2 linked regions of the Macaca mulatta genome follow. Each later gene encodes a partner of the first gene's protein in a complex. Links are inferred from orthologs where the notes say so. Each region holds a gene or a part of one and is shown on either strand. Other genes may lie near its edges.

Region 1 (9,534 bases):
TGGCCAGGCTGGTCTGAAACTCCCTACCTCAAGTGATCCACCCACCTCAGCCTCCCAAAGTGCTGGGATTACAGGCGTGAGCCACGTCCAGCCTGGAACATTTATGTTTTCTTGCTAAAGTTGTTTTATTAGAAGCAGTGAAAATAGTGCAGTGAAAATTAAGGGCATTGGAGCTAGATCTGAATTTGAATTTTGAATCTAGCATTTATCTGCTATGTAACTTCAGAATTTTCTCCAGATTTTATTTTTTTTCTAAAACATTAACAGTTGAGTGTCAGACTTCTTATGGCATATAGAAACTTATGCTGCTATTATAGTTAATACTGTATTTATAGACTTAATATGAATTGTATTTGTTTTTATAACCTGCAGGATGTAGTTTTGTACCTTCCTTATGTTGAGTGCTCCAGATTTTGATTTTGTTCTATTTTTGAGTAAAGAGAATTGTTGACTATAGACATGGTACTAGCAGTGGCTTGACAAAAGAGGAAGTCTAAACTCTCTTAACCTTAATTTAGAAAGTAATGTTTTGTCTGCCTAAAATTAGTGTTCATTTGTTTCTACTCACAAAAAACTATCTCCCCACAGAGCTTGATGCATTAGATGCCAATGATGAGTTGACTCCTTTGGGACGAATCCTGGCTAAACTCCCCATTGAGCCTCGTTTTGGGAAAATGATGATAATGGGGTGTATTTTCTAGTAAGTGCTTTGTTTTATTTCTCTTCATTAAGTGGTAGAATAATTTCTGAATCTTCTTCTCCCTGTAAAAGCAGTATTGGCTCAGACAAAAAAATTCTGAATGTTCTTAAGGGAAGTGACATACTTAAATATTGAGAGAAGTATAACACGAAAAAAATGTACAGTTCCAGTAGATGGATATCTGGGCCCAACACGGGGAAACGGGCACTGATTTCTCATAAGTAAAAAGCAGGCCAGGCAATGTGGCTCACACCTTTAATCCTAGTACTTTGGGAGGCCGGGGTGGGAGGGTCCCTCGTTATTAATAGTTGGTCTTGAAAGAGCAGCATCAGCAAAAGAGGTTTATTTTATCAGAAAATGTTGAAGATTAAAGAGATTTGGTATGATGGGGAAGAGAGAGAGAATATTAAAGGAAAAATATACTTGGTCATAATTATGGTAAGTACGTGACCATTGGAATGTCAGCGCACCTTTTTTTTTTTCTCTCTGATTCTGAAGAGAGCAGCTGTAAAGTTCTTTGTTAAGCCAATTTCATTGCAAATAAAAGTAGAATCATAGCCATAAAGACTGCAACTCACTGTCGACAGTACTACCTGAGCTGCTGGCAACAATATTGTGATCTAGTCTGAATTTAACTGTCTTTGTGTATTTCAGCGTGGGAGATGCTATCTGTACCATTGCTGCTGCTACCTGCTTTCCAGAGCCTTTCATCAATGAAGGAAAGCGGCTGGGCTATATCCATCGAAATTTTGCTGGAAACAGATTTTCTGATCACGTAGCCCTTTTATCAGTATTCCAAGCCTGGGATGATGCTAGGTATGAGTAAGATTTGGGTGGTCTGTCTGTAGTTTCTCATTTGTATTTAGTTCTCGGGTCTTAGAGAATGATTTCTCATACCGATTTATTTTAGAATGGGTGGAGAAGAAGCAGAGATACGTTTTTGTGAGCACAAAAGACTTAATATGGCTACACTAAGAATGACTTGGGAAGCCAAAGTTCAACTCAAAGAGATTTTGATTAATTCTGGGTTTCCAGAAGGTAAGACTCCCATTCTTAAGATACCTTTAAAGTGACATTTATATAGTACATGCAAATTGACAGCAAAGTGTATTTTAGCTTCAAATTTTAGACCCTATGATTTTTCTATATTCCCAACTATTTCTTAGTTCTCATGGATACTGGTCCAGCTCCCAGAATGAGTACTTTGCTGATAACCTTATAGTGGTTTGCAAAGTAATTGATTAGCATTTAGACTTGAAGTAAATTCTACCACATTAAATTTTAAATGGCTTTAATATAAAGATGAACTGTAGTACTTTTCTTTTCCAACTAGGTTAAAATATAGAATTATTTCCTAAAACATTGAGAACTGGAATGCATAACCAGAGATAAGACTGTTGAGAGACAGAAGGTAGTTGGGCAAGATGGTAAATTTTTAACGGCTGTGATTGGAATAACTTAACAGAGTAGTGAGTGGTTCTCTTCTGTCATAAGCCAGCTGAAATGTTAGTTTCTCCTCAGAATTATAAGAAAGGGAAAACTTTTTATGTGCTAGAGTCTTGAGATGCATTTTATAAGTAATGAAACAGGCACCAAGGTATAAATTGTCTTTAATTTATCCAATTACGAGGTTATAAGGCTAGAACTCGTTTGTCTAGAACAAAATATGTCTGTGCTTTCAGCGGTTGACTGTCATGCTTTCCAGTCAGTAGCTAAGTACTCATAAAGTGTAGACTGGGTAAAAACGTCAGCCTTCATTCCAGTAGGTGTCCTCTTAGATTATCATTCCATCTTCTCTACAACTAACAACTATTGAAGAGTAGCAGATGAGAAAGTTTTACAGACAGGTTATGTGAAGAGAGGAAGAGTCAGTTCTCTGAATTTTCTTGAATAGTTTGCATGTAATGTGAAGATCAGCCAATTATCTGATTTTTCTTTTCACTCTGCTCCTCTTAACAGATTGTTTGTTGACACAAGTGTTTACTAACACTGGACCAGATAATAATTTGGATGTTGTTATCTCCCTCCTGGCCTTTGGTGTGTACCCCAATGTATGCTATCATAAGGAAAAGAGAAAGATTCTCACCACTGAAGGACGTAATGCACTTATCCATAAATCATCTGTTAATTGTCCTTTTAGTAGCCAAGACATGAAGTACCCATCTCCCTTCTTTGTATTTGGTGAAAAGGTAAGAAAAGACTACAAAAGTTAACATTGAAAGTTGAAATTGTCTTCACAATCATTAGGAATATGAATTTTGATTTTCAAAGCACAGTATGTGGCGGTATTTGGAAGTTGGAATGTCAACCATTTTGTACTGTCTCTTTCTCCATTTGCAGATTCGAACTCGAGCCATCTCTGCTAAAGGCATGACTTTAGTCACCCCCCTGCAGTTGCTTCTGTTTGCCTCCAAGAAAGTCCAATCTGATGGGCAGATCGTGCTTGTAGATGACTGGTATGGATTTTCCGCTGTGAACTCCAAACTGAATTCTTAGAATTATAATATGATGGAATTCAGCTGCTAATCTAACTTAATTATATACTAATTATAACTTAAATATATACTAATTATATCTAACTTAATTGCATAGTATATACTTAAACGGATACCAGTAGAAGCAGATGCATTAGAAATTTGAGCCATGTCTAACCACTATGCACACCACTATGGAATCAATCTAAGTGAAACTTGAATACACTTTCACATACTCTCTATATTGATTCAAAACTAGTGGCAAGCACTGGGCAAAAATGGAATAGAGCTTAATGGATAGCCAGTAGGCTCAGCCATCATATTCTTGAAAACCTAGAAAATGCCAGCATTCTGGGTCTCTTAATTCATTCTTTTAAAGTCTGGATGATCTGGCTGGGTGCCGCAGATGAGTTGGGCTCAGGAAGTTCGAGATCAGCCTGGACAACATGGTGAAACCTGTCTCTACTAAAAATACAAAAAATCTAGCCCAGTGTGGTAGTGCACACCTGTAGTCCCAGCTATTCTGGAGGCTGAGGCAGGAGAATCACTTGAACCTGGGAGGCAGAGGTTGCAGTGAGCCAAGATCATGCCACTGCACTCCAGCCTGGGCAACAGAGCAAGACTGTGTCTCAAAAAATAATAAGTCTGAATGATCCATATTGCCGGACTTTCTTTTGTTTATTATATATTACATATATTTTTGTATTTTATTTGGCTTGATAGACTTTAAGTAGTTTTTAAAAATATTAATGCTTAAGAAGTTAAATTTATTCTTTAACTTGCCATGTGTGAGGTTGAGAGATAATGGTCTTTTTCTTCATATACTCCCTCTCTTACTTTTAATGTTTTTCGCCACTTTAGGATTAAACTGCAAATATCTCATGAAGCTGCTGCCTGTATCACCGGTCTCCGGGCAGCCATGGAGGCTCTTGTTGTTGAAGTAACCAAACAACCTGCTATCATCAGCCAGTTGGACCCTGTAAATGAACGTATGCTGAACATGATCCGTCAAATCTCTAGACCCTCAGCTGCTGGTATCAACCTTATGATTGGCAGTACACGGTGAGTACCATATTAACTTCTCATTGAACCAAGTAGAGGGGAGAGATCTTTCATAGGTCTAGAATTCCTAGAGTTAGTGATAGAAGCCTTATTAAGTAAAATTCTAGATACAGATAGTTTAGTTCCATCTAACAAACTCAGAACAAAAATGTCATTTACTTTTGTTAGTCCCTTTGTTAGTAATTGGTCTACCGCATCAGTGCGTATTGGTAGTGTTGGAAAAGGATCTTACAAATACACATACGTAGTTCAGAGTAGGTCACATGACAGGGAAGTGACACAGCCCAGATAGCCCTTTTTCCATGGTACTGTTTTGGCATCTCTAAAGAAAAAATATTGATGAGATGTTAAATTGCTTCTTTATCCAATGTGTATGTGTTTTTGTTTATCTTAAACAACTAAGAGCATGGACATCTTAAAGCAAAGAAATGAGAAATTTATCTTAATTCTTAAAATTTTTATTTGCTTCAGGTTTTAAAATTTTTTCCTTTGCCCATGAGTTTTTATTTACAAATACTTGATACTTGCCAAAAAGGCAGAAAAGTGATACAATGTTTAGCCATATAGTCTTTGTTTAGATTCACTAATTTTCAGCGTTTTGTACATTTCCTTAATCATTTGTGATGAAGTAGTAGGCACTACCACATTTTACATCAATACACTTCATATCTTTTAAGAACATGGTCACAATACCACCCCAAAACCTTAAGTGTTTTAGTAATACTATAATATGCTATTGTACTAAAATCCTTCCAGTTATCCAAAAATGACCTCTAATTCCTCATCAAAAATGACTTACTGCATTTGGTCTGTCTATAAAATGGGTAGATGGTTATCCTCATTCTCTTTAATATAAATAAGGAAACCGGGCACAGATAAGACTCAAGGTCATACAACTAATAACTGATAGAACCAGATTCAAACCCAGGCAACATGCCTCCTGAAACAGTGTTCTTACTAGGCTTTACTGTGGCCCTCCTAGGTGCTTAAATGTATAGGATAATTCAGTAAGCATCATAGGCAGATAACAAATTAAGTATTCATGGGTGTTTAGGAGAAGAGAGATTATTTTTGGTAGGAGGGCTGGTAAGCAAGGAACCTTTGTATATATAATCTGTTTCTATGAGGGATAGTAGTCCAGAAACTAGAAAGAAAGGGATATACGTAAGAGAGTTTAGGATGTATGAATATGTGGTGGCCTAAATTACAGTAGTAGATAGAATTTTTCAAAATTAGATATACATTTTTCAAAATCGTATTTCAGAATTATTGCAGGAAAACTTTTAGTGATAAAGACCAAATAGTTTATTGGCAGCTCCAGGAACCCTCTCCTAATGCTTGCCTTCTTGGAACACTATGTTGTTGACCTGAGTAAGAGCACTTCTTAAAGTTGTAATGACATACTGCCAAAATTCAAAACCTTTGAGATTGAACCAGAAAGAACTTCAGAAAAACAGATGGATATAATTGATGACTGTTTTAGAATAGCAGATCAATTTTGTTTCAATTTCGATTTGTGCGTTTGGCTTCATTCCCTTTATGTATTAAATTTTCAAATATAACTAACTGTGTGCATTTGGTGAGTGGTTGGGAAATAATAAGAATGCTTTGCTGAAGTGATGGTTTTGTGCTTTTCCTAGGTATGGAGATGGTCCACGTCCTCCCAAGATGGCCCGATACGACAATGGAAGCGGATATAGAAGGGGAGGTTCTAGTTACAGCGGTGGAGGCTATGGCGGTGGCTATACCAGTGGAGGCTATGGTGGCGGAGGCTATGGTAGCGGAGGCTATGGTGGCAGCCCCAACTCCTTTCGGGCAGGATATGGTGCAGGTGTTGGTGGAGGCTATAGAGGAGTTTCCCGAGGTGGCTTTAGAGGCAACTCTGGAGGAGACTACAGAGGGCCTAGTGGAGGCTACAGAGGATCTGGGGGATTCCAGCGAGGAGGTGGTAGGGGGGCCTATGGAGGTGGCTACTTTGGACAGGGGAGAGGAGGTGGTGGCTATTAAATCTTGGTTATGTCAGTTCCTGTGTGTAGACAGTAAGGAAAAAAAGGCATGCTATGTGTTACGTGTTTTTTCCAATATGTTTATTTGCCACCAAAAAGTAAATGCATTTTCACCCATTCTGTGGTTCATTGTAGTTTAAGGAAACCAAGCATATAGATGCATTAGTGATTTTGTTTATATTATGTAAAATATAACGATCTATCTTAAAAATACCACAGTTTGTATTTTTTCTTTAAGGAGTAAAGATTTGCCTTTAAATAACTTGGTATTTTCCTGGCTTTCGTTTAATACAGTAGAAAATAAAGTATTACACCGAATACTTGCCGTGTAGTTTGTTGACCTTATATATTAGAAAATTTTATAATGCCAGTTACATCTGTTCATTTTAAATGTCAGAGAAGTTGTACCATGTTTCAAAAGTATACTAAGTGATACTACTTGTAATAGAAAAATCACCTTGGAATTGTTACCTTTTGAAGTAAATACTGGCAAGTGTACAAGCCACATAAACCTGAATAAAACTTTTGACCTAGGGCTGAACATTTGGCTTCCTCCCATATTCTGTCTTTGAATAAGACCAAGGCCAGCATTTTCTTTTCTAAGTGAGTTTCTACTGTGACAATTAAAAGCAATATAATCACTCCGTTAGAACTCTTAAGCCACTTTAATAGACATGTTCATACATTTATAACACTTTACAGTTTCCAGTGAATTTGCAGATTTCTCATTTGAGCAATGGGAGAGGGCAAAGGTATTGGATTAGACAGAACTGGGTCTGTCTTAATTCTTTTCTCCACCATGTGGATGATCTTGGGCAAGTCATATTTTTGTCTTGGTTTCCTTTTCAAAGTCCTTTATCCTGCATATATGTTGTAGATCACCTTCAGCAGTTAAGCTGATGGCACATATTTACAGACACACAAGTCTATCTCCAACCTTGATTTCCTTTCTGAGCCATGTAAGCAGCTGCATACTGAACATGTATCTCTGCTTAAATATCCCACAGAAAAAAATCTCAGTGCTTTCCAAACTGACCTCCTTCCCCTCCCAACCTACCCTATGTCCTGACAGTACTGTGTTCTCTGCTCCGTTTTCTTTGGAGTTTTCAGCTGCTTAATTGCTTAAGCCACCACCTCTAGTCAGCTCAAAACATCTTTCAATATACTTTTATAGATCAGTTGCCTCTGTTCTATTCAGTCTTAGTTTGGACATACAGTGCCACAGCAACCACTTAACTGATCCTGCCTACAGGCCTGCCTCAATCTAATCTCCACTACAGCTAGAGTAAACATTCCCAAACGAATCTGATTTCATACCCTCTCTCCTGACTTAAACCAATGGTTCTTACTGCCGGCAGGGTAGAGGCTAAACTCCCTTCTTAGCCCCTGACTCCAGCTCTACCTTCATTTCTGCTGTACAGCTGTAGCTAGCCATACTGAACTAGCACCATTGATGGAGCATGCTTTCTCTCCCTTTGCACGTTGTGAAAACTCCCATAAAAGGTATAGTAGCAGGACGAGCCGCAGACAAAACTCCTCTGACACCAAGTTAAAGAAGGGGTTTTTTCAGCCGGGGCATCAGCAAGACTCCTGTCTCAAGAGTCGAGCTCCCCGAGTGAGCAATTCCTGTCCCTTTTAAGGGCTCACAACTCTAGGGGTGCGTGTGAGGGGGTCATGATTGATTGAGCAAGCAGGTGGGGGCTGCATGCACTGGTAATTAGATCAGAAGAAAACAGGATAGGGATTTTCACAGTGCATTTCTATACAATGTCTGTAATCTATAGATAACCAATTAGGTCAGGGGTCAGTCTTTTAACTACTAGGCCCAGGGTGTGGCGCCAGGCTGTCTGCCTGTGGATTTCATTTCTGCCTTTTAGTTTTTACTTCTTTCTTTGGAGGCAGAAATCGGGCATAAGATGATACGAGGAATGGTCTCCTCCCTTAGTATAAAATCAATAATGGTTCATTTGAATGGTACTCATGCCTCCAACAAATTCAATTAGAAATGTGAAATTGAAAAATGGCCAAAAGTTGTCAGTGCATTCTCTAAAGGTTGAAAAAAAGCACTAAGGCATAGTTCTAATCTTTTCATATTCAGCTGAAGACCTAAGGAGCTTCATATGTAGCTCCCCGCTGTGTGTGCCCCACACATTTCAGCTGTCCTCCCCAAACTCGTTTGTCTCATAACTGCAGTGCTCTGCTTGGTAGTTTCTCCCTCCGCGGTGACCCAGAAAGTGCTTCCACATAGTCATGGACTTGTCTCATTGTTTTCCTTATTGGGGGATCACAGTTCTGCATTGCCTGTTGCCTAATGTCTGAAAGCAGCTGTTTCACTAGTTGCTTACATGGGAGGTTAAGTGCCATTTGTACTTGTCATAGCTGTAAGTGGGAATCCACTTCACTTGTCAAAGAATCCATTATAAAGTCCAGAAATCATGCCTTTTTTTAGATGAGACTTAAAAGAGCAGAAGGCTACATAGAGTATTTTGTGGTATATTAATACCTTCAGACATCAACTACTGTTGAATTTCTGTTTTGAGGCAGGGTCACCCAGGCTGGAGTGCAGTGGCGCAATCTCAGCTCACTTGCAACCTCTACCTCCCAGGCTCAAGCGATCTTCCCACCTCAGCCTCCTAAGCAGTGGGTAACTGGGACCACAGGCACCTGCCACCACCACACCCAGCTAATTTTTTTTATGTTTTGTAGAAACGGGTTTTCACCTGCCCAGGCTGGTCTTGAACTCTGGACCTCAGACAATTCACCCGCCTTGGCCTCCCAAAGTGCTGGGATTACAGGCATGAGCCACCACACCCAGCCTTCATTTCCTTTCTTAGTCATCTCTACATTCTGCTTAGAACAAAGACAATAGTTAAAGAATGTCACAGCAGGTGTGCAATGACTGAAAGTTCTTCCAAAATGAGAGCTTGAATACACACCGTTCCCGTTCAGGAGATGGGAGAGAGTTCGAGGAAAAAATTTGTAGAAAGGTTTCTGCTTACCACCCCTTCTCTCACAGCACATATCTACTGGAGTTTGCGGTAGTAGAGCTGGCAGTGACAACTGAGTCTGCCCTTCCAGAAGTTCAGACAGGAAAGACAGTGGCCTGAATTGCACCTGTTTAGTCCGTGGTTGGCAGCTTGAAAGTTATCTGGAAGAAAAAGCTGATGTGCCAGTTTGAGGAAGCCAAGCTGCAGACCTCTCTGTGTTAACAGAAGGTGTAGGTACAGTGTCCTCAAGCAAGCAGCTACAATTTGATGGGATCTTCTATGCTGTGGAGCTACACTCCAGACCC
Region 2 (10,622 bases), about 36 Mb from region 1:
TCCAGGAAGGGGAAGATGAGCTCGGGGACGAAGAGGAAGGCGCGGGCGACGAGAACGGGCACGGGGAGCAGCAGCCTCAACCGCCGGCGACGCAGCAGCAACAGACCCAACAGCAGCGCGGGGCCGCCAAGGAGGCCGCGGGGAAGAGCAGCGGCCCCACCTCGCTGTTCGCGGTGACGGTGGCGCCGCCCGGGGCGAGGCAGGGCCAGCAGCAGGCGGGAGGTAAGAAGAAGGCGGAAGGCGGCGGAGGCGGCGGTCGCCCCGGGGCTCCGGCGGCGGGTGAGTGCTGCGTTGTACGTTGCGCGCGGCGGGAGGCCCGCGCGGGGTGGGGACCGTGCCCCAGGCCTGCCGGAGCCCCGCAGGGGGAGGGAGCCCCGGGCGGGCGGGGGGCCGCGGGGAGGGTGGCGGGTGGGGGAGGGGGCGCGGGGAATCCCAGATTAGCCGAGAGGCCTCGGGCTCGGGGCGTGTGTGCGTGTGTTCGTGTGTGTGTGTGTGTGTGTGTGTGACGGCGGTGGCAGCGCCTCCATTATGTGGCTCGAGAGCCGGGGGGAGCTGCAGCTGCCGCTGGAGGGGGAGGAGCCGCGGGCGGGCGGCGGGAGGGAGCCCGGTCGGCCCGCGGTGGCGCCGTCGCGCTGCGTGCGCGCGGTGCGGGCACATGTCTCGGGGGGAGGGGAGAGGCCCCAGGTCCCGGGGCGGGCGCGCTTTGGCGGCTCCTCGCCGCTGTATTGTGCAAGGAGCGCAGGGGCTCGGCGTGACGTCACTTCCTGCGGGAGGAGCCGGGCGGGGCGGGGCGGGGGGCGGAAGATCAGTACAATGCGGCCGCGGGGAGCGCGGGCCCGCGGGGGAGGGGAGCGCCGCCGCGCCGGGCTCGGCCCCTCCCCCTCCTGCGCCCTGGTCGCGATACACGTGGGCTTCGGGCCTGGGCCGCGCAGTTTTTCTTTGGGTTTCTCGAATCATCGAGGAGACTGGCAAAATTCGTAACGTCTTTAGACTGCGTCACTAGCGCTAATCCAATTCGTAGCTGATTGTTCTTCGAATTCACATTTGAGTCCTCGGTTAAAACCTCGGTTAAAAAGCAGGATAAAGTCGAGCTGCTTTGCTTCTCGGAACGGAAAAGCGTTTTTTTGTTGTTGTTTAGCGGCTTGGCCTCTTATGGGGGTCTTGTGTGTTTTAGGGGACGGCAAAACAGAACAGAAAGGCGGAGATAAAAAGAGGGGTGTTAAAAGACCACGAGAAGATCATGGCCGTGGATATTTTGAGTACATTGAAGAGAACAAGTATAGCAGGTATAGGATGCTCACCTAGTTTTACTTGTCATCCCTTATTCGTTCGTTGATCGGAAAGCTGTATCAGGAGACAATTCTGTCTTTCAGAGCCAAATCTCCTCAGCCACCGGTTGAAGAAGAAGATGAACACTTCGATGACACAGTGGTTTGTCTTGATACTTGTAAGTGAAGCTGTTTCTCCCCAATTATGAAATGCGGTGATGGTTTTTTTTTTTTTTTTGCTTCCAAAATGTTAGAAAACTTAATGCTTAAGTGCAGCAAAAGTTGGGTTAGGTTTTTTTAAAAGCAGGAAGAGATAATGGTTTATATTCAGAACCTAGTAGTTTAATATTTAGCACGGCATCAGTTGTATCAAATGGATTATTTTACAGGCTCTAGGAGTTTCATATTTTTATGACTTGAAAGTTCTCGTTCTTAGGAAATGTAAAATTAATGCCAGTTTCTGACTAGCTAACGGAAACTTGTAACACTACCTATAATTTAGCCTTACAGGCTTCTACAATAAAGTAATTCATTTTTTTGTGGAATTATATTAAGTGAGCTATTTGGGCTAGTTAAATATTTACTAATGACTTCTCCCATTAGCACACAAGTATATTCCCTATTCTAAAAGATTGTAATATTATTTTTTCAATAACTGCTCTTTTGTTCTCAATTCCAGTTCAGTAGCTGCTGCTTTAAACATAAGTTGATTTCTTCCAAAGACCTGAGGCAGCAGCAGTGGGCTATCACTGGGCCACTAGCTTTCTTCAGCAGCGAATGGTATCAATGGCAGTGCAGCACTGTAAATACTGCTACTTCACCCAGTTGGGTTGCAATTGAGTATGAGAAAGTATTGCAAACCTCTAAGTGGGCTTTGACTGTCAGACTTGCATTTTTTTTGTTGTTGTTATAAAAAAAAGTAGTTGGTTTAGTGACCAGAATTCACAACTCTGGGTGTGATAAATAGACCAAAGAATAGAAATACCTGTTTGAAAGTATCAGCTGTGGTGTCAGCCTGCTCTGTTAGATGGAGGGCATTGAAGCTTAGCTTCTCATGTTTTCTTGTACAATTTGGTTTTATTCAGATTTGTAAGAGTGTAAATGTAAAACTCTTTCTTACTGGAATGTCCTTTACAGAAGGTTGAGATAGTCATCTGAGCCTTTTTAAAGTAAAAAACTGCAGGTGAAAAAGGAGTTAGTTGATTTGAAAGTTTTATGTGAAATTCTGGGTTGTGTAAATAAAAAGTTGCTAGGAATTGGCAAGGTAGTGAAGTGGTGACTCATGCAGGTAATGTAATTGTTAGATTTTTTAGCAAATCAGATAGGCATATGTCAATATAAACACAATGTTGAATTCAAACAATCTGTTGAATTAAATTCTGCTGATTACAGTAATTCTAATTTAAGAAAAATTCCAAACTGTAGATTTATTTTTCTCTGATCAGTAAAAAAAAAATTGAATTCCAGCTTGACTTTAGCTGTTGAAGTGAGAAGTCTGAGAAGGTGCATGTTAATGAGCCAGTGACCCATAGGTAGCTAGGTTAAAGACACTTTGGATTTGGATAATCCGGGAAGCAGTTAATCCCTAATTGTTGAACAGGCAGTCCTGGGTAAAGAGGACCTAAAATGCTGCACTATTAACAGCATTAGACGGCCAGGTTTGTACTTCATAGATTTAGGCTGTCTTCTTCACAAGTTTTAGAAGAAGAATTTAGGAGCTAGAGCCCTGGTGCAGGATCAACAGCAGCTCATACTCCTGTTTCAAAATAATTTGGTCGTGGCCTCCCTTCAGTTTTAATGTGGCACTGGTAAATCTACCTGGTTCTGGCATGCTTCACTTTGATTTCCTGCTATCCTCTACTGCTTGCCTCTAAATCAAGGTAAAGAGCAGAGCAGGTATGTATTAATGTCACATTGTCTTGATTATTTTAAATACTTAAAATATACATGTTAAACCTTGGTATTAGTTTCAGAGGCAGTTTACTTTTCAGTACATAATTTAAAAGGAGTGACTTGGTGGGAGTGGGGCTTTAAACTGAAAATTGGAACAACAGCATGATGTGGAGAAAAGTTGTGCAGCGTTAAGTACATGCAAAAATTAAATAACCAAGTTTTCTCTACATAGCATATATGTTTACATTGGATGTCAAAAGTAACACAGTATTTGATATAATTACAGATAATTGTGATCTACATTTTAAAATATCAAGAGATCGTCTCAGTGCTTCTTCCCTTACAATGGAAAGTTTTGCTTTTCTTTGGGCTGGAGGAAGAGCATCTTATGGTGTGTCAAAAGGCAAAGTGTGTTTTGAGATGAAGGTAAATGCAATTTTATGATGTTTTTGTTTGATTTTGGAGACAGAGTCTCACTCTGTCCCCTAGGCTGGATTGGTGTGGTGTGACCCAGGCTCAACTGCAACCTCCTCGTCCTGGGTTCAAGTGATTCTTCTTGCCTCAGCCTCACAAGTAGCTGGGACTATAGGCACGTGCCACCACACCTGGCTAATTTTTGTATTTTTAATAGAGAACGGGGCTCCTGACCTCAGGTGATCCACCCACCTCGGCCTCCCAAAGTGCTGGGATTACAGGCTTGAGCCACCGCGCCCAGCCTTTTTTTTTCTTTTCTTTTTTTCTTTTTAAAATAGTGACAGGGTCTCACCATGTTGCCCAGGCTGGTCTTGAACTCGTAAGCTCAAGTGATCTGCCTGCCTGGGCCTCCCAGAATACTGAAATTACAGGTGCTTCATACTGCTAAGTTATCAGAGGTACTTATTTTTTGAAGCTTCCTGTAAATTAAAAGAGGAACTTGGAACCTTCATTTTGTTGTGACAGTTAAGTTATGTTAGAACTTGACATGCAGAGCTAGGCAACTTTTTATTTAGGGTACTTCATTTTTATCAAGCATTTGAAAGGGCCACCAAAGAGTGAAAAATAAAATTTGGTTAGATTACAGGTTTTGTTGGCGAGAAAAACATTAAATGTATCCTTTAATTGGCTTTAAGTTGAAGACTGACAACATGAACTGTAAAAATATTAACTATTCTTTTAAATATGGGTCAAATAAGTATTTAACATTTCAAGTTATAAGCACATCAGTTTAAAGTTCTTACAAATATTAGGGATGGGCTAGAGTGTGCCATCTCTTTGTATTTATAGCTCGAGGAAGATTAGCTCATGACCCTATGAAATAAGCCAGAGTTAAGGGGTTACCTCCTTGGTTTATGATTTTAATTATTTAATGATTCGACTTTCAGGTTACAGAGAAGATCCCAGTAAGGCATTTATATACAAAAGATATTGACATACATGAAGTTCGTATTGGCTGGTCACTAACTACAAGTGGAATGTTACTTGGTAAAGATTCTTTTTGACTGATGTGGGCTCATGAATGTTTAGGAGGGTCTGATATCCTTATTTTTTAACCAGACTAGAAGGCATTCTAAGCCTTTTGTCTGTTTTTATCTATTCTGTTAATACTTCAGACAAGTAATATTAGCACATAGTAGGCACAGGCTACATTTTAGTTTTTGTTCCTTTATTAGAAGTTTATGGTTGAAATAAAATCTTACCCATGATATGCAAATTGTCAACTAATTTGGTCTCTGCATATATATATATCCCTCCTAACTTTCATCAATTCTAGTACAGAGGTAGAAAAGTAATAGTGTCAGTGACAGGTGATTAGGTTATATGCTCATTTCTCTTGTAGCCTACATTTTAAGTAGTGAAATAGATGAGTCTTTGGACTATTTTAAAAATCTACTTCACGAAGGTTAATTACTTTCTTAGGTGAAGAAGAATTTTCTTACGGGTATTCTCTAAAAGGAATAAAAACATGCAACTGTGAGACTGAAGATTATGGAGAAAAGTTTGATGAAAATGATGTGATTACATGTTTTGCTGTAAGTTAAAGCTAACTTTCTATGTATAAATGGCAAATTAGTAGCTATATCTAGGAACTTTTAAGAAGCTTTATTAAGGTCAATCTTCAATAGGAGCAACATAAATACACCAGTCCCTGGGTTAGTATAAATACTCATTCAGCAGTTGAATTGGGAAAATACAGGACATTTTTGAGGAACTCACTAATTTCATTTTGACTGAAAACAATGAAGATGAAATTGACCTAGAAAATTTAGTCTAACTTCTAGGTCACTATTGTTTCTGGTTCTGGAGATACGTGCTTCATTGTTTGTAACCATCAGATTTCTTAACTGTGTAGCCCTTAGAGGCCACTTAATAGTTGTTTAACCTGTAGCTCCCACAGGATAAGCTTTGCTCCTAATTTTAATTATTAGTTTTTTAGAAAGTTTATAGGAAGCAGATAACTTGAATTTTTTGCTGTTTAACAGAACTTTGAAAGTGATGAAGTAGAACTCTCCTATGCTAAGAATGGACAAGATCTTGGCATTGCTTTCAAAATCAGTAAGGAAGTTCTTGCTGGACGGCCACTCTTCCCGCATGTTCTCTGCCACAACTGTGCAGTTGAATTTAATTTTGGTCAGAAGGAAAAGCCATATTTTCCAATACCTGAAGAGTATACTTTTATCCAGAATGTCCCCTTAGAGGATCGAGTTAGAGGACCAAAGGGGCCTGAAGAGAAGAAAGATTGTGAAGTAAGTGATTTTTTTTTTTTTTTTTAACTGGCATTTGAATATTGTTTGACTGGCACAAAATGACATTTAGAAGAGGTAGATGATTAGTCTGTTTACTTTGTGCTGTACATATTTCTCTTAAGTAACCATTGTTTTCCCCTTATGTTGACTGTTACTCTTTCCATAAACACAAATTTTTGTCCCTTAGTATAAGGGCTATGAAGACTTAGATATTTAAATTGGCCTTAATAGAACAATATTTAAAGAATTATTAGGTGGTGTCTAATGACATTTCATTATTTTCACTAGGTTGTGATGATGATTGGCTTGCCAGGAGCTGGAAAAACTACCTGGGTTACTAAGCATGCAGCGGAAAATCCAGGGAAATACAACATTCTTGGCACAAATACTATTATGGATAAAATGATGGTAAGTAAAATGTTCAGGGCCTCATCTCAGTGTTTAAAATAGACGAGGAGAAGGCTGGGCATGGTGGTTCACGCCTGTAATCTCAGCATTTTGGGAGACTGAGGTGGATGGATCACCTGAGGTCAGGAGTTTGAGACCCACCTGGCCAACATGGCAAAGGCCCATTTCTACTGAAAATACAAAAATTAGCCAAGCGTGGTAGTGGGCACCTGTAATCCCAGCTGCTTGGGAGACTGAGGCAGGGAGAATTACTTGAACCTGGGAGGCAGAGGTTGCAGTGAGTCGAGATCGTGCCGTTGTACTCCAATCTGGGCGACAGAGCAAGACTCTGTCTCAGAAAAAAAAAAAAAGAAAAATGATAGACTAGGAGGTATTCTAGGTAAACCTTTTGCCTTTGTCTGTATCCATTTTGTTAATATCTTAAGAAGGTGGGAGGAAAGGCAAGATTAAGTTGGTTCTTTAAGTAAGCTCTGTGAGGGTAAACTGCCTTCCGGTGGCTAGGCTTCTGTGTTTTTGAGCACAGGAGCTGCTAGTGTTTCTAGAAGCTAAAAAGAATTAAGTGTAGGGTGTAGGGTCTTGTTACATAGTTTAAGTGACCCTGTTTTTGTAACAATAATGGACAAAGGTAATGTATGTTGCCTGCTTTACATATAGATGAGAGTTGAATTTTAAAAAGCATAACTTATTAAAATTCACAAGTTCAAGGGGAAATTTTAACTTTTGAATATAGGTGGCAGGTTTTAAGAAGCAAATGGCAGATACTGGAAAACTGAACACACTGTTGCAGAGAGCCCCACAGTGTCTTGGGAAATTTATTGAGATTGCTGCCCGAAAGAAGCGAAATTTCATTCTGGATCAGGTATGCTGTAGCTTTGAAGATGAAAAATATTAACTGATAATTTAGATAGATTGGTGTAGAATTAACATTTAGGGTTGTAAACATAAATTTCTTTTTTTAAAGACAAATGTGTCTGCTGCTGCCCAGAGGAGAAAAATGTGCCTGTTCGCAGGCTTCCAGCGAAAAGCTGTTGTAGTGTGCCCAAAAGATGAAGACTATAAGCAAAGAACACAGAAGAAAGCAGAAGTAGAGGGGAAAGACTTACCAGAACATGCGGTCCTCAAAATGAAAGGCATGGAATTTTAATTTAATTCTGTTAAGTGTGTTAAATCTTTTTTTTTTTTTTTTTCCATGCATATTCTGCTTGTGTAACTTTGTTATATCTATTAGGACTTACTCCTCTGAAAAGTTAACATTTTTTCCAGCAATACTGCTTCAGGAATTACAATTGCACTTGTTAAATATGCATATATGTTTGGTCTATTTCTGTTTATTTTTAGGAAAATACGTTACTAAACCTTAATAATTTGTTAGCTTTAGGATTGTGGGGATTTGTGGTGGGTTTCTAAGTTAATAATACGACTTTGTTTCCTGCAGGAAACTTTACCCTCCCAGAGGTAGCTGAGTGCTTTGATGAAATAACCTATGTTGAACTTCAGAAGGAAGAAGCCCAAAAACTTTTGGAGCAATATAAGGAAGAAAGCAAAAAGGCTCTTCCACCAGAAAAGAAACAGAACACTGGCTCAAAGAAAAGCAATAAAAATAAGAGTGGCAAGAACCAGTTTAACAGAGGTGGTGGCCATAGAGGACGTGGAGGATTCAATATGCGTGGTGGAAATTTCAGAGGAGGAGGCAAGTTAATTTTGAGTGTTCTGTATTTAGTTCAGGATCGAAACAAATGATAATTTTATAGTTTGGATATAGCTGGTTTCTTCCTCATTAATGGTATGCTGTCACAGTAATTAGTATTCATGTAATTTGACAGTAAATACACCTAGGTTATGTTGTTAATGGTTAGAATTAAACATTACTTTTGTCTTTAAACAATTATTTTTGGAGAAAAAGGAACAATCTAGAGGAATCCTGAGTCTTCTGTATAAGTAGGGTACAATGCAATGAAACTAAAACATCCCTTGTTTTTTAGCCCCTGGGAATCGTGGCGGATATAATAGGAGGGGCAACATGCCACAGAGAGGTGGTGGCGGCGGTGGAAGTGGTGGAATCGGCTATCCATACCCTCGTGCCCCTGTTTTTCCTGGCCGTGGTAGTTATTCAAACAGAGGGAACTACAACAGAGGTGGAATGCCCAACAGAGGGAACTACAACCAGGTAATGATTAAAGATCCCTGGAAGCATGATGATATCTGTATAGCTTAATCTGGAAAGTTGTGAGCTTTATGTTGGGGTGTCTTAGTAGTCCATAAGGAACATGATAGGCATTGACATAAGGAAAATTGAACTAGTAATGGTGAAATGAGTCTACTTACTTTTGAGTTTTTTCAGGTGTACTAATTAACAAGTCAGATGCGTTTCTCATAATGAATAAAAAATAAAAACTAAGAAACCAGCAGAGGGTATCCAGAATTTGTATATTGCCCCCTAAGATTAGGGGCTAGCAACCTGTCCATTTCTGCTCCTCTCTCCCACCCCCGCAAACCTAACAAGCGATTGGGCCCAGAGCTCTTAGATCTGTTTCCTTTTTGTAGAACTTCAGAGGACGAGGAAACAATCGTGGCTACAAAAATCAATCTCAGGGCTACAACCAGTGGCAGCAGGGTGTAAGTAATTTCTTACGTGGTTTATGTACATTAATTGTATTTTGAGTTCCTAAGATTTATCAGTCTTGAAAAAGATCCTGTCCAGGGATTGAAGTGTTTATAAGTGTTAATAGGGTAAAGTGTGAATCGTGTTGCAGTAGTAGCCATAATCTACCTTTTGAAGGCAAAATAGGTTGAAAATTGCTATAAGTTAAATTTTTTTAATGAAGTAATATTATTTAATATATACAGTTCTTTTTACTGTTAGCTTTAATTGTGTAAACTAACAAATTCATGATGTGTTTCATTTTGTAATGTGTATTGATAATTATGGGATATTAAAACTAAATCTGGTAGAAATCAGAGGTATGACAAGTATAAATTTGTTTCCAGCAAATTACTCTGAATTAGATTCATTGTCATTTCCTAAAAACAGTTTGAGTGGCTTATTGATGTTTTTTCTTTAAAAACAAAATTTTCTCTTACAGCAATTCTGGGGTCAGAAGCCATGGAGTCAGCATTATCACCAAGGATATTATTGAATACCCAAATAAAACGAACTGATACATATTTCTCCAAAACCTTCACAAGAAGTCGACTGTTTTCTTTAGTAGGCTAACTTTTTAAACATTCCACAAGAGGAAGTGCCTGCGGGTTCCTTTTTTAGAAGCTTTGTGGGTTGATTTTTTTTCTTTTCTTTTTTGTACATTTTTAATTGCAGTTTAAAAGTGAATCGTAAGAGAACCTCAGCATTGTGCACGATAAGAGAATGTGTCAGTATTTCAGGGTTCTACATTTTATCTGTAAAATGTGACTTTTTTTTTTTATCACAACAGAAGTAAAATGTTGCTTTGTACCTGGTGTCTTTTATTAAGAATTTACTCCCCCCATTTCTCACAGAGAATAACAGTCGGGAGTCATTGTCACAATATAATAGAAATGTTAGCAACCAGATTCATGTAAGGACTAAGTGGTCCTCATGAATTGCATTAAGACTCTGTACTGCTCATATTACACTCCATCCTCTCTGTAGTTTGCTGGGTAGTGGAGGGGGTAAGCTAAATTGTAGTTTCTGACAATAACTGGGAAGGATTTTTCTTAAATAACGATGGAATTGGTATAATTGGGATTGAAAACCAAAACTTGGAACTAAGATAGAGAAGATGGAGTGTATGTAGAAGGGCTGTTAAAAATGTAAACCTTGGTTGCATTATTTGTGGAGGCTCAAACTTGTGAAGGTTAAATACCATAATTTTTCCATTTGTTCTGCATTTTGATTCTGAAAAGAAAGCTGGCTTTGCCCATTTCTTATTAAAAAAACTTGTTGTAAATCCAGTTGTCTAATGGGATCTATATGAAGTTAGCCATGTCTGTATGCCCTTCTCCCACAAAATACTGTATAACTAGTGTGCTTGTAGTAGTTAACTCCACCATCTTTGTAAGCTAATGAAATTGTGAGTCACCCATTTATATCTTAATTTTTAATCATGTCAGTTCTTGAATGGGTATCTCCTTAGCCTGCTGATTTCTTTTTCTTTCTAAAGAAAGTGGGTGGAGAAATTAATTTAGACGTTTGTTTGCAATAAAAAGAATTCATTTTACTCTTGTTTTGGGATTCTCGCCATCAAGGTTCAAAATCCCTTTAACTCCCAAGAGGAGAAATTTTAAGTGTGTGCTTTCTGGACAGCTTATTTACTCTGCATAGAACATTTAGGTTTTAAAAACTTAAATGTAT

The links.
Region 2: DHX9 (region 1) and HNRNPU share a complex: the UniProt entries of both Homo sapiens proteins name them as parts of the coding region determinant (CRD)-mediated complex. The link is inferred for Macaca mulatta from reciprocal best matches to the Homo sapiens genes DHX9 and HNRNPU.

Annotation. Positions count from the first base shown.
Region 1 is NC_133406.1:40,344,338-40,353,871, forward strand, and holds the end of DHX9 (ATP-dependent RNA helicase A), read left to right. Parts: intron 1-588; coding exon 589-700; intron 701-1,354; coding exon 1,355-1,516; intron 1,517-1,610; coding exon 1,611-1,738; intron 1,739-2,659; coding exon 2,660-2,889; intron 2,890-3,040; coding exon 3,041-3,156; intron 3,157-4,035; coding exon 4,036-4,236; intron 4,237-5,876; coding exon 5,877-6,243; 3' UTR 6,244-6,654; downstream 6,655-9,534. UniProt on the Homo sapiens protein: Multifunctional ATP-dependent nucleic acid helicase that unwinds DNA and RNA in a 3' to 5' direction and that plays important roles in many processes, such as DNA replication, transcriptional activation, post-transcriptional RNA regulation, mRNA translation and RNA-mediated gene silencing.
Region 2 is NC_133406.1:4,248,284-4,258,905, forward strand, and holds the end of HNRNPU (heterogeneous nuclear ribonucleoprotein U), read left to right. Parts: coding exon 1-279; intron 280-1,174; coding exon 1,175-1,286; intron 1,287-1,373; coding exon 1,374-1,447; intron 1,448-3,447; coding exon 3,448-3,587; intron 3,588-4,522; coding exon 4,523-4,622; intron 4,623-5,057; coding exon 5,058-5,170; intron 5,171-5,620; coding exon 5,621-5,884; intron 5,885-6,172; coding exon 6,173-6,292; intron 6,293-7,022; coding exon 7,023-7,151; intron 7,152-7,253; coding exon 7,254-7,422; intron 7,423-7,727; coding exon 7,728-7,982; intron 7,983-8,274; coding exon 8,275-8,459; intron 8,460-8,836; coding exon 8,837-8,908; intron 8,909-9,375; coding exon 9,376-9,429; 3' UTR 9,430-10,488; downstream 10,489-10,622. UniProt on the Homo sapiens protein: DNA- and RNA-binding protein involved in several cellular processes such as nuclear chromatin organization, telomere-length regulation, transcription, mRNA alternative splicing and stability, Xist-mediated transcriptional silencing and mitotic cell progression.